Mus musculus: one gene and its partners. The protein of the gene in region 3 binds, or shares a complex with, the protein of the main gene of each other region. Links are inferred from orthologs where the notes say so. Each region holds a gene or a part of one and is shown on either strand. Other genes may lie near its edges.

The links. Proteins that work in one complex are often made in the same cells at the same time.
Region 1: the proteins of Ptpn23 (region 3) and Zfyve9 are in contact, whole or in part, in a crystal structure (PDB 5MJY), measured with the Homo sapiens proteins. The link is inferred for Mus musculus from reciprocal best matches to the Homo sapiens genes PTPN23 and ZFYVE9. Residues at the interface, in NP_056281.1 of Homo sapiens: Phe62, His125, Glu137, Lys141, Val142, Cys144, Thr145, His146, Gln148, Cys149, Leu189, Lys192, Ser193, Asp196, Arg198, Lys199, Leu202, Arg205, Ile206, Ala336, Leu338, Leu342, Asp348, Ala350, Val351; in NP_004790.2 of Homo sapiens: Glu2, Tyr4, Phe5, Gln6, Glu8, Ala9, Leu12, Asp13, Val15, Leu16, Asp17, Phe19, Glu20.
Region 2: the proteins of Ptpn23 (region 3) and Zfyve16 are in contact, whole or in part, in a crystal structure (PDB 5MK0), measured with the Homo sapiens proteins. The link is inferred for Mus musculus from reciprocal best matches to the Homo sapiens genes PTPN23 and ZFYVE16. Residues at the interface, in NP_056281.1 of Homo sapiens: Phe62, His125, Glu137, Glu138, Lys141, Val142, Cys144, Thr145, His146, Gln148, Cys149, Leu189, Lys192, Ser193, Asp196, Arg198, Lys199, Phe201, Leu202, Arg205, Ile206, Ala336, Leu338, Leu342, Asp348, Ala350, Val351; in NP_001098721.2 of Homo sapiens: Asp2, Tyr4, Phe5, Ala8, Val9, Leu12, Asp13, Leu15, Leu16, Asp17, Phe19, Glu20, Gln21.

The regions. Positions count from the first base shown.
Region 1 is NC_000070.6:108,718,308-108,721,966, reverse strand, and holds part of Zfyve9 (zinc finger FYVE domain-containing protein 9), read left to right. Parts: intron 1-2,154; coding exon 2,155-3,659. UniProt on the Homo sapiens protein: Early endosomal protein that functions to recruit SMAD2/SMAD3 to intracellular membranes and to the TGF-beta receptor.
Region 2 is NC_000079.6:92,487,217-92,490,156, reverse strand, and holds the end of Zfyve16 (zinc finger FYVE domain-containing protein 16), read left to right. Parts: intron 1-1,533; coding exon 1,534-1,695; 3' UTR 1,696-2,408; downstream 2,409-2,940.
Region 3 is NC_000075.6:110,391,062-110,394,720, reverse strand, and holds part of Ptpn23 (tyrosine-protein phosphatase non-receptor type 23), read left to right. Parts: intron 1-892; coding exon 893-1,020; intron 1,021-1,273; coding exon 1,274-1,350; intron 1,351-1,968; coding exon 1,969-2,018; intron 2,019-2,104; coding exon 2,105-2,236; intron 2,237-2,617; exon of another isoform or gene 2,618-2,658; coding exon 2,659-2,739; intron 2,740-2,822; coding exon 2,823-2,954; intron 2,955-3,039; coding exon 3,040-3,087; intron 3,088-3,455; coding exon 3,456-3,512; intron 3,513-3,618; coding exon 3,619-3,659. UniProt on the Homo sapiens protein: Plays a role in sorting of endocytic ubiquitinated cargos into multivesicular bodies (MVBs) via its interaction with the ESCRT-I complex (endosomal sorting complex required for transport I), and possibly also other ESCRT complexes.

The DNA.
Region 1 (3,659 bases), on a different chromosome or scaffold from region 3:
ATAGTGAGTTCTAGGACAACCAGGGCTATATAGAGGGACCCTGTCTCACACAAAACAAAACAAAACAAAACAAAACAAAACAAAACAAAACAAAACAGTACACTATAACTCATGATCAGCAATAATCAGTACACTGCCTTTTGTCTGCACCTCTGTTTCATTTTTAACACTTTGGAGGTATTGGTGTACACACCTGTGTGTGCCTCTGTGTGTGTGTGTGTGTGTGTGACAGAGAGAGAGAGAGACAGAGAGAGAGAGAGAGAGAGAGAGAGAGAGAGAGAGAGAGAGAGAGAGAGCACAAGTGAGCACTTATAGAAGCTTATGAACATAGATGTTCTTCTTGCCTGTATGGATGTAGAGGCCAAAGGTCAACATTTTATCACTTCCTCGGTGATCTCTACACTTTTTTTCCTCAAGTCACAATTTTAATAATCCCTGTAAGAAACACCCCTTCAGAGAAAGGAACAATGCACCATCTAGAAGGAAACTGCTGCCAGAATTTGCTCTTTCGAGCTAGATTGGCTTATCAGCAGTCCTTTGGAATCTGCTTATATGTACTGTCCACAGCACTGGGGTTACAGTTTTATGCCACCATGCTCCAGCTTGTGCCTCTCTAGTCTTTTATATAAGTGCTACAGCTAAATTTAGGTCTTCATGCTTACACAAAGGGGTACCTTTGTCCACTGAGCCATTTCCCCAGATGACGGCTGCTGCTGCTGCTGCTTCTTCCTCTTCTTCTTCTTCTTCCTCTTCCTCTTTCTCCTCCCCCTCTTCCTTTTCTTTTTCCTCCTCCTCTTCTTCTTCCTCTTCCTCCTTTTTCCTCCCTCTCTTCCTTTTTTCCTCCTTCTCTTCCTCGTCTTCCTCCTCTCCTTCCTCCTCTTTTTCTTCCTTCTCTTCCTTCTTCTCTTCCTTCTTCTCTTCCTCTTCCTCCTCTTCTTTCTCCTCCTTACTCTTCCTCCTCCTTCTTCATAGGGTCTTCTATATTGCCCAGGTTAGCTTCAAACTCAGAATATAGCCAAAGATGACCTTGAACTTCTGACCTTCCAGCTTCCTACTTCCTGCCTTCACCTCCCTAGGAATATAGGTATTTGCCAGCACACTCAGTTTCTGCAGCACAGGATGTCATACTGAGGGCTTAGTGAATGCTAGGCACTGTAATAACTGAGCAAATCTCTAGGCCCATTTTTTTTTTTTTAAAGTTTTTTCGCGGGGCGTGGTGGCACACGCCTTTAATCCCAGCACTGGGGAGGCAGAGACAGGCAGATTTCTGAGTTCAAGGCCAGCCTGGTCTACAGAGCGAGTTCCAGGACAGCCAGGACTACACAGAGAAACCCTGTCTCGAATTAAAAAAAAACAAAACAAAACAAAAAAAAAACCCAAAAAAAAAGTTTTTTCAGATAAACTTTATATTCACGAAAAGACCTAAATTTTATTACACAGAGTTAGTGGTTTGTTTGTTTTTGTTTTTGTCTGTTTTGAGACAATCTCACTTTGCTTCCAAGATGGCTTGAAATCATTGACTCAGTTGTTCTTTCACTTCAGGCTCCCAAGACTACAAGGTTTACTGTATAGATTTAGCAAATGGAGGTATCCATGTAACCCACACCCCAATCATGTAGACTAGAGAGCATTTAATCTCCATAGAAAAATTCTCACTCAGTTACTAGTCTCCACTACTGTTCATTGTCTGTGCCTTGTCTTATACACAGACAATCCAAAGTTCCTTTCCCATTCCTGGGTATATAGGTCAATTTAATTGTGTTATTATTTATCTCAATCTAATAACACAATTAAATTGACATAAAATTCATTTGTTGTTTGTTTTTTAAGACAGGATTTCTTTGTGTAGCTCTGGCTGTTCTGGAACTCACAGAGATCCCCCTGCCTTTGGCTCCTGAGTGCTGAGATTAAAGACATGCACAACCACTGCCCAACTTTGTTATTTGAAATGTTCTGAGGCATTACCATTTGTCGACAGATAATTATAGGGCATTGTCTTAAATGTATTTTTCTTATGTCTAGCTAAAGATTAGATACTGTCATATTCTGGGGACATTTTCTTCAAAGCACAGCTGGAAATATTTGTCAGGTAGCCCTAAGTAGCTTTTACTGTTACCAACAAACTTACTATAATTACTTTTTTTTTTCCTTCAGATGAAACAGTTTCTCCTACTTTATTGGATACAAAGTGGAATAAGATTTTAGATCCCTCTTCTCACCCATTGTCTTTTAACCCTGCATTAGCCAGTGTGAATGAACCTACAGTTTCTGAGACAGGACCACAGCTGAAAGTCTTCTCTCTGGCTGGCTCAGCTCCCCTTACAAAGGAGGACAAAGATCCCTGTGCTAACGGACAGGACTGTAGTCTAAATCCAGAGACTGACACCATGTGGATTGATGAAAATGCTGTGACAGAAGACCAACTAATTAAGAGAAACTATAATCAGGATGATCAATTTAGTGCCGTTGAAGTGGGAGAGGAGAAATGTGGAAGCCTCACTTGTCTGCCAGACGAGAAGAATGTTCTGGTTGTAGCTGTCATGCATAACTGCGATAAAAGGACATTGCAAAGCGATTTGCAGGATTGTAATAATTACAATAGTCAATCCCTCATGAATTCTTTTAGTTGTTCACTGGATAATGAGACTAGACAAACTGATCAATTTAGTTTTAGTATGAATGGGTCCACGGAAAAAGGTATAAACTCGGAGAAACAAATGGATGCTTTGAATAAACCAAAACCAGAGAGGGATTCTGTGAATCATCTCTGTGCGGCTTCATCTAACAGTGCAACCAGTATCTCTTCCCCTTCACAATTGAAGGACGGTGAGAATGTGGGTAGAGACCCATCTACATCTACAGTTACAAGCTTAGCAGTTAATTCATCCCAGGGAATGGATGGAGGGCCTGCCATTAAACAGCAAGGAAATTATATGCCAGATGAGGATCTTTCTGGCATGAACAGCTCTTCCAGGACAGACCTAGGGATCTCCAACTCCTTTTCCCACTCAAGTGGAGAGCTCTTAATAAAAACAGAGCCAGCTGAGGAGAGGACAGCTGAAGACTCCCTCCCATCTGATTTATCTTTGAATCTCAAGCCGGATACTCCTGCTTTATCTGGAAGGGACAATTGCGAACAGTCTTCAGACTGCCTTGGGTCTAGTGAAACTAGAGCTGATGAAGATGAAGGTAATGACTCTCAGATGACTAATTGGAAATTAACGAAGCTAAATGAGATGAGTGATAGCCAAGTGAATGAAGAAAATCAAATGGCTTTACAGAGTAATCAACCTGAGGACACTAATAGTGGAGGCGAGTGTGTTGGAATGGCAGATTCTGATCTAGATTTCAAAGGAACTTGCATGAATGAGAGTGAAGGATATGATTTCTCCACTGTTAATGATGCACCAGCAGCAAATTCTCTATCTAATAGTTGTGATTCCTATGGAATGCAGAGCCCAATTGTATCTTTTGTTCCAAAGACATTACCCTCCAAAGAAGATTCAGTAACAGAAGAAAAAGAAATAGAAGAGAGCAAGTCAGAATGCTATTCAAATATTTATGAACAGAGAGGAAACGAGAATGCAGAAGGGAGTGGACTGCTTTTAAACAGCACTGGGAATGTAATGAAGAAAAATTATTTACATAATTTCTGTAGT
Region 2 (2,940 bases), on a different chromosome or scaffold from region 3:
ACACTGCATACACACATGCACATATACACAACTGCATACACACATGCACATATACACACAACTGCATACACACATGCACATATACACACACTGCATACACACATGCACATATACACACAACTGCATACACACATGCACATATACACACACTGCATACACACATGCACATATACACACACTGCATACACACATGCACATATACACACTGCATACACACATGCACATATACATCTCACACAGAACATAGTACTGCATACACACATGCACATATACACACACTGCATACACACATGCACATATACACACACTGCATATACATCTCACACAGAACATATAGTACTGCATACACACATGCACATATACACACACTGCATACACACATGCACATATACACACACTGCATACACACATGCACATATACACACACTGCATACACACATGCACATATACACACACTGCATACACACATGCACATATACACACACTGCATATACATCTCACACAGAACATATAGTACTGCATACACACATGCACATATACACACAACTGCATACACACATGCACATATACACACACTGCATACACACATGCACATATACACACACTGCATATACATCTCACACAGAACATATAGTACTGCATACACACATGCACATATACACACAACTGCATACACACATGCACATATACACACACTGCATACACACATGCACATATACACACACTGCATATACATCTCACACAGAACATATAGTACTGCATACACACATGCACATATACACACACTGCATACACACATGCACATATACACACACTGCATACACACATGCACATATACACACACTGCATACACACATGCACATATACACACACTGCATATACATCTCACACAGAACATATAGTACTGCATACACACATGCACATATACACACAACTGCATACACACATGCACATATACACACACTGCATACACACATGCACATATACACACACTGCATATACATCTCACACAGAACATATAGTACTGCATACACACATGCACATATACACACACTGCATACACACATGCACATATACACACACTGCATACACACATGCACATATACACACACTGCATACACACATGCACATATACACACAACTGCATACACACATGCACATATACACACACTGCATATACATCTCACACAGAACATAGTACTGCAACAATTTGAAACACGGTATGTTGATTTTTCAATTCATTTTTAATTCAAATTAAGTTGCATTGTTAATTATATTAAAGCTTCAGATATCATTTACATATGTGTTTAGTTGGAAGGAAATCTAAAATATAAAGTAGTGACAATATTTATAATGTTATAATTTATGTAGTAAAGAGATAAAAGAAATGGGAAAATAAATTTTTGAAAATAACTTTATTTTACTCATAGCTTTAAGCTGAATATTCAAAAAATGCTACATATTCGGCTGCCAAGCAACACAAGAGGGCTAATTTTCTAGGGTTACCTTTATCAAGATTTCTTTTTTTTCCAGGTTGAGTTCCAGGCAGGCTGTGAAGGCCAGCTTCTGCCTCAGCATTACCTGAATGATCTGGATAGTGCCCTGATCCCTGTGATCCACGGCGGGACCTCCAACTCTAGTCTGCCACTAGAAATAGAGTTAGCATTTTTCATTCTAGAAAACCTTTCTGAGTGAAACCGTGTACTGTGCTGTATCTTGCAAACTGATCGGTTAAAACGAATCCCAGCACTAAAACGGAAATGCCACCAACACTAAATGTTTGATAATTGAAATATATAATTTTGCTTTTTAGGTAGGAATGATTTTTAAAAATCATTAGCACAGTATTTAAGTTCCTAAAAATTTAAGGAATCATCATTTTTATAGCTTTATGCTTATTATAAGAACTAAGAGGAAATATTTCTAACTTACAATTTACAGTATTTACTGTGTACCTTAACTGTTAAGCCAAAGCATCTGCGCTTAGCCCTACTCCTCATAGATGACGAGAATGAAGGAGAGACCTGCGTTGTGTGGATGCTAGTGAGAACACTGGTTTTGAAGTCTGTTTAAAAATGTATCTCAGTAAGGAAGACCAGTTTCAAGATTCTAGACTTATAATTCTTTGAATAAAGCTGATAACTTATTTGTATAAATGGAATGAAGACCTACCTCCATGATTACATACAAACTGTTTGATTAAATTTAGAATTTTGCCTTTATTTCTTCTCAAATTTCATGTATCTATATATATATATACACACATATAAATATATCATTTTTTCTGATTAAAATAATTGCGGGTGCTTTAGGACTTTATGCTTCTCTATTTAAGTCTGTTGTTTCCATAGCAACATATGATTTGGAATGTGTTTTATAAATCTTTGCTAATATATAAATAGATAATATTTTTGTATCACAGTGCATTCTTTTTCTCCTTCCTTACAAAGTACACCACTGTATTTAACACTCTTGAGATGACGACAGGCCAGATGGCCTATGAAATAGTCATCAGGTAGCAATAACTGAAGCCTAAAGCAGGTTTCTTTTACTTTCATGTTAGTCCTTAGTAATTTCTTGATTGATATCAATGTATGAAGTGTAAATTTCAACAAACTTACTACTTTTGCATATTTTAAATTCTTTCTATGCTAGTTATTTTTTATAATGGAATATTTAACTTAACAAAAAGTTAAAGGTTGTGATAGAGCTTTCTAGTTTAATTCAGACAACAGAAAAGAAAAAACTGTCATTTAACTTATATAAAATGTAATCATTGTTTTGATGCCTTTTTATTATGTGAAATATATTTTTGTATTAAAAACACTCATTGTATCTATCAGGAAGTCACACTAAATAACTCTGTGTAAGAAGGATTATTTATAAAGCATTGCACCTTATAGATCCAGGCACGTGATTCTCCTCCAAATCACACTTGGA
Region 3 (3,659 bases):
CCCCCTTTTTGGTCTGTATATTTATTTGCATATCATATGCTTTTACAGAAATTAGATCACACTATATTCATCTGTTACTTTTTTTTTTTTTGCCTAGTAGCATGTCATTGAAATGTTAGTATATCCCGAGCAACCTTTGTCTTTAGTTTAGCTGTGGACTGTTTTCTTGTGTGAGTAGCCTTGACATAATCCATGTAAACAGCCTCCTTTAATGGAAAGTCTTGTGGCATCCAGGGCTTTAATCTGACAGTGCTATGAAAGTGGTTTAGTATGCACATTCAAGGATTTTTTTCTTTGTCTTGGATATCTGGCCTCCCACACATCATTTTTTGATGCAGGGTCTCGTGTAACTCAGGCTGACTTCAAACTTGCTTTGTAGCCAAGAATGGCCTTAAACAACTGTTGCTCCTATCCCTGCCTCCTGGTTCTGGGATGCAGCTGTGCATCTTCCTGCCCCACCGACCTGGATGTCTCTAACTATATAGTTTCAGATGAAGAACTTCGGATCAAGCTGGAGCAATGTCTCAGCACTTGAGAGCACAGCTATTCTTCTAAAGGACTCAGTTTCAATTCCCAGCACTCACATGGCAGCTTACAGCCATATATAACTCCAGTTCCACGGAAGCCAAGTCCCTCTTTTGGTCTCCACAGACACCAGACATGCATGTGGTGCACATATATGTAGTCCAAACACCTATACACATGAAATAATTTTTTTAAAGTAAAAAGTTAAATACAGTAAAAAAATTCAAAGCACATTACAGAGTGTCTTCTAGAAATGTGGGACAGACTTTGGCTGCCAGGATGGTATATCCAATAACTGTGGGCATAGAGAGGGCTTTCTTTGCAATTCTAATGATGGTGAGCCTTTTTCTTCCATCCTACTTCCCAGAATGCTATTCGCGTTGCCCGGGACTTTGAGGGCTGCAGTGTTCTTCGAAAGTACCTTGGCCAGCTACACTACCTACAGAGTCGGGTGCCCATGGGCTCAGGCCAGGAGGCTGCTGTAGCTGTCACCTGGTGAGCACTGGTAGACTGGGCTGGGCAGATGAGAACTTAGAAGGTGTGAACTTGGACAGCTGGGATGCCTGGGTGATAGGCTTGATCCTTTCCCCCTCTCTTCTCTCCTTGCTGCACAAGATGGGGAATGGGTTAGTGTGATCTCCCATAGATGCCTGTCTCATACCGGGGTGGTTGGTCCCCTCCCCTGACCCTTGGGCCCAGGCCAGCTCTTACCATCTGTGTGACTCTGAGATGACTGGCATGTCTGCAGGACTGAGATCTTCTCGGGCAAGTCTGTGTCCCATGAAGACATCAAGTACGAGCAGGCCTGTATTCTCTACAACCTCGGTGAGCTGCTTGGTCCTTCCATGGCCTCCTCCAAGCCCTCCCAGCCCAGGGTCTTAGTTCATTAGGTCAGATGGCCAAAACAGCCATGAGTGGATGAAAGAAAGGTGCCTGGGTTGTAACCTCTCCCCCACCTCTACCACAGCACACAGGCACTTCTGCTGATTTCTGGGTCACTGGCATGTCGCTGTTTAAAGGGTTGCTCTGCTGGGCTGACTGTCACAAGCGTTGTCGCTGTGTACTTACTCCAGTAGGGAGTCATGGCCTCTTTTGTCTGAGAGTATCACCCCTACCCCCCAAATTAACGGCTTTCAGATTGCTTCAGGGAGGGAGGTCAAAGCTGGCCTTAGACTGCCCTTCAAGTCAGCTGTGCTGTTGGCTGAGGGAAAGAATGGGGGCTCTTCCCTGCTTTACCCCCAGTCAGGTGCATAACCGGAGAAAAGATTTGGCTAGGTTTGTGATTGTTCTTCCTCGGGAATCCTTGCACTGACCGCCCAGGTCTCAGACCTGTTTCTCTGACTGAATGACAGCAGTGCCCCTCGACTTCAGCCTCAGCACACGAGTGGGCGGCCTGGGAAGCATCCCCAGGCTCTTGTAACCGAGTGTCCCCTGCCTCTCTAGGTGCACTGCACTCCATGCTGGGGGCTATGGACAAGCGGGTGTCTGAGGAGGTGAGGCTTGGGGACAGCGTGGGCTCAGCCGCCAGAGTTTGCTTCCTGCCTTACGGAAGTGGCATCTTTCACCTCTTCCCTCCCAGGGCATGAAAGTCTCCTGCACCCACTTCCAGTGTGCAGCAGGCGCCTTTGCCTACCTGCGTGAACACTTCCCACAGGCCTTCAGTGTGGACATGAGTCGCCAGATCCTTACGCTCAATGTCAACCTCATGCTGGTGAGCAGGGGGGGCCCTGGTGGAGCCAGATTGCTCTTGTTTCTGTTTTGAAATAGAGTCTTATTCTGTAGCTCAGGCTGGTCTGAAACTTGCTGTGTAGTCCATGCTTTCTTCAAAATCATGGCCAGTCGTCTTGCCTCTGTCTTTTTGGGGTTAATCATGAGCCACCGCCCCTAACTTTAAGTTAAATTGGAGAAGAAATGACTAAGGGAGGAGGCAGTTCCAGCTAGATCATGGGCCAGCCATGTGCCTGTAGTAAGGGACAGGCAGGAAAGAGGCCCTAGTGTTGGGTCTTTTGAGTTTCAGGAAGATCTGGCAGTGTGTTAATTTTGGGGGAGACTAGAGGAGAGGAGATATTTTGGTCTGTCCCTTGGCTCCCAGGAAGGAAAGGACCTTCAGGTGACCTGCACTTGTTGCTCCAGGGCCAGGCTCAGGAGTGCCTGTTGGAGAAGTCCATGTTGGACAACCGGAAGAGCTTTCTAGTGGCCCGCATCAGCGCACAGGTAGGAAGAGGGCTGAGGCCCGCATCAGCGCACAGGTTGCTTTGCCCCTGGTCCTCGATAACTGGACTCATTCCAACTCCTAGGTGGTAGATTACTATAAGGAGGCATGCCGGGCCTTGGAAAACCCTGATACTGCCTCCCTGCTGGGCCGTATCCAGAAAGACTGGAAGAAACTTGTCCAAATGAAGATCTACTACTTTGCGGCTGTGGCTCATGTATGGTGAGGGGTTGCTGGGTGTGGAGTGAGCCCGATGGCTGTAGCCTAGGAGACAAGTGTGATGCCTATTCCTTTTTGCCCAGCTACACATGGGGAAGCAGGCTGAGGAGCAACAGAAATTTGGGGAACGGGTGAGTGGACTGTGGGTAAGGGGTGCACTGAGGATCTGTTCTGGGCTTTTATGATCGTCTTTACATCATATTGGAGCTGGTCCTCTCTGTCCCCATCCTTGTTTTCCTCCTTACACCATGTGCCAAGCCATCACCACCTTGCAGCCCTTGTTTGTAAGGGTCTCAGGAGGTATGGTGGGGTCCCCACAGGGAGGGTAGCCCTTTGGGAGCTACAGTGGAGCTGTTTGGGGGCTGTTGGCTTGGCTGGCATCTGCTACCTGAGGGGCTGGTCTTATGGTCAGTGATGCTATCATCAGGTAGGATGAATTAGGGACATGGAACATTAGGGCCCGAGCAGGAAAGGACAGACCAGGTTTTGCCCTCCACAGGTGGCCTACTTCCAGAGTGCCCTGGACAAGCTTAATGAAGCCATCAAGTTGGCCAAGGTAAAGCTGAACACATGTGGCTGCTCTTCAGAGCCATGGAGGCAGAGCTAGCTGACCTGACAGATCTCAGCACTGGCCTTGGTTATTTCTTATCTCTGCTCCACAGGGCCAGCCCGACACTGTGCAAGATGCACTTCGCTTTGCTAT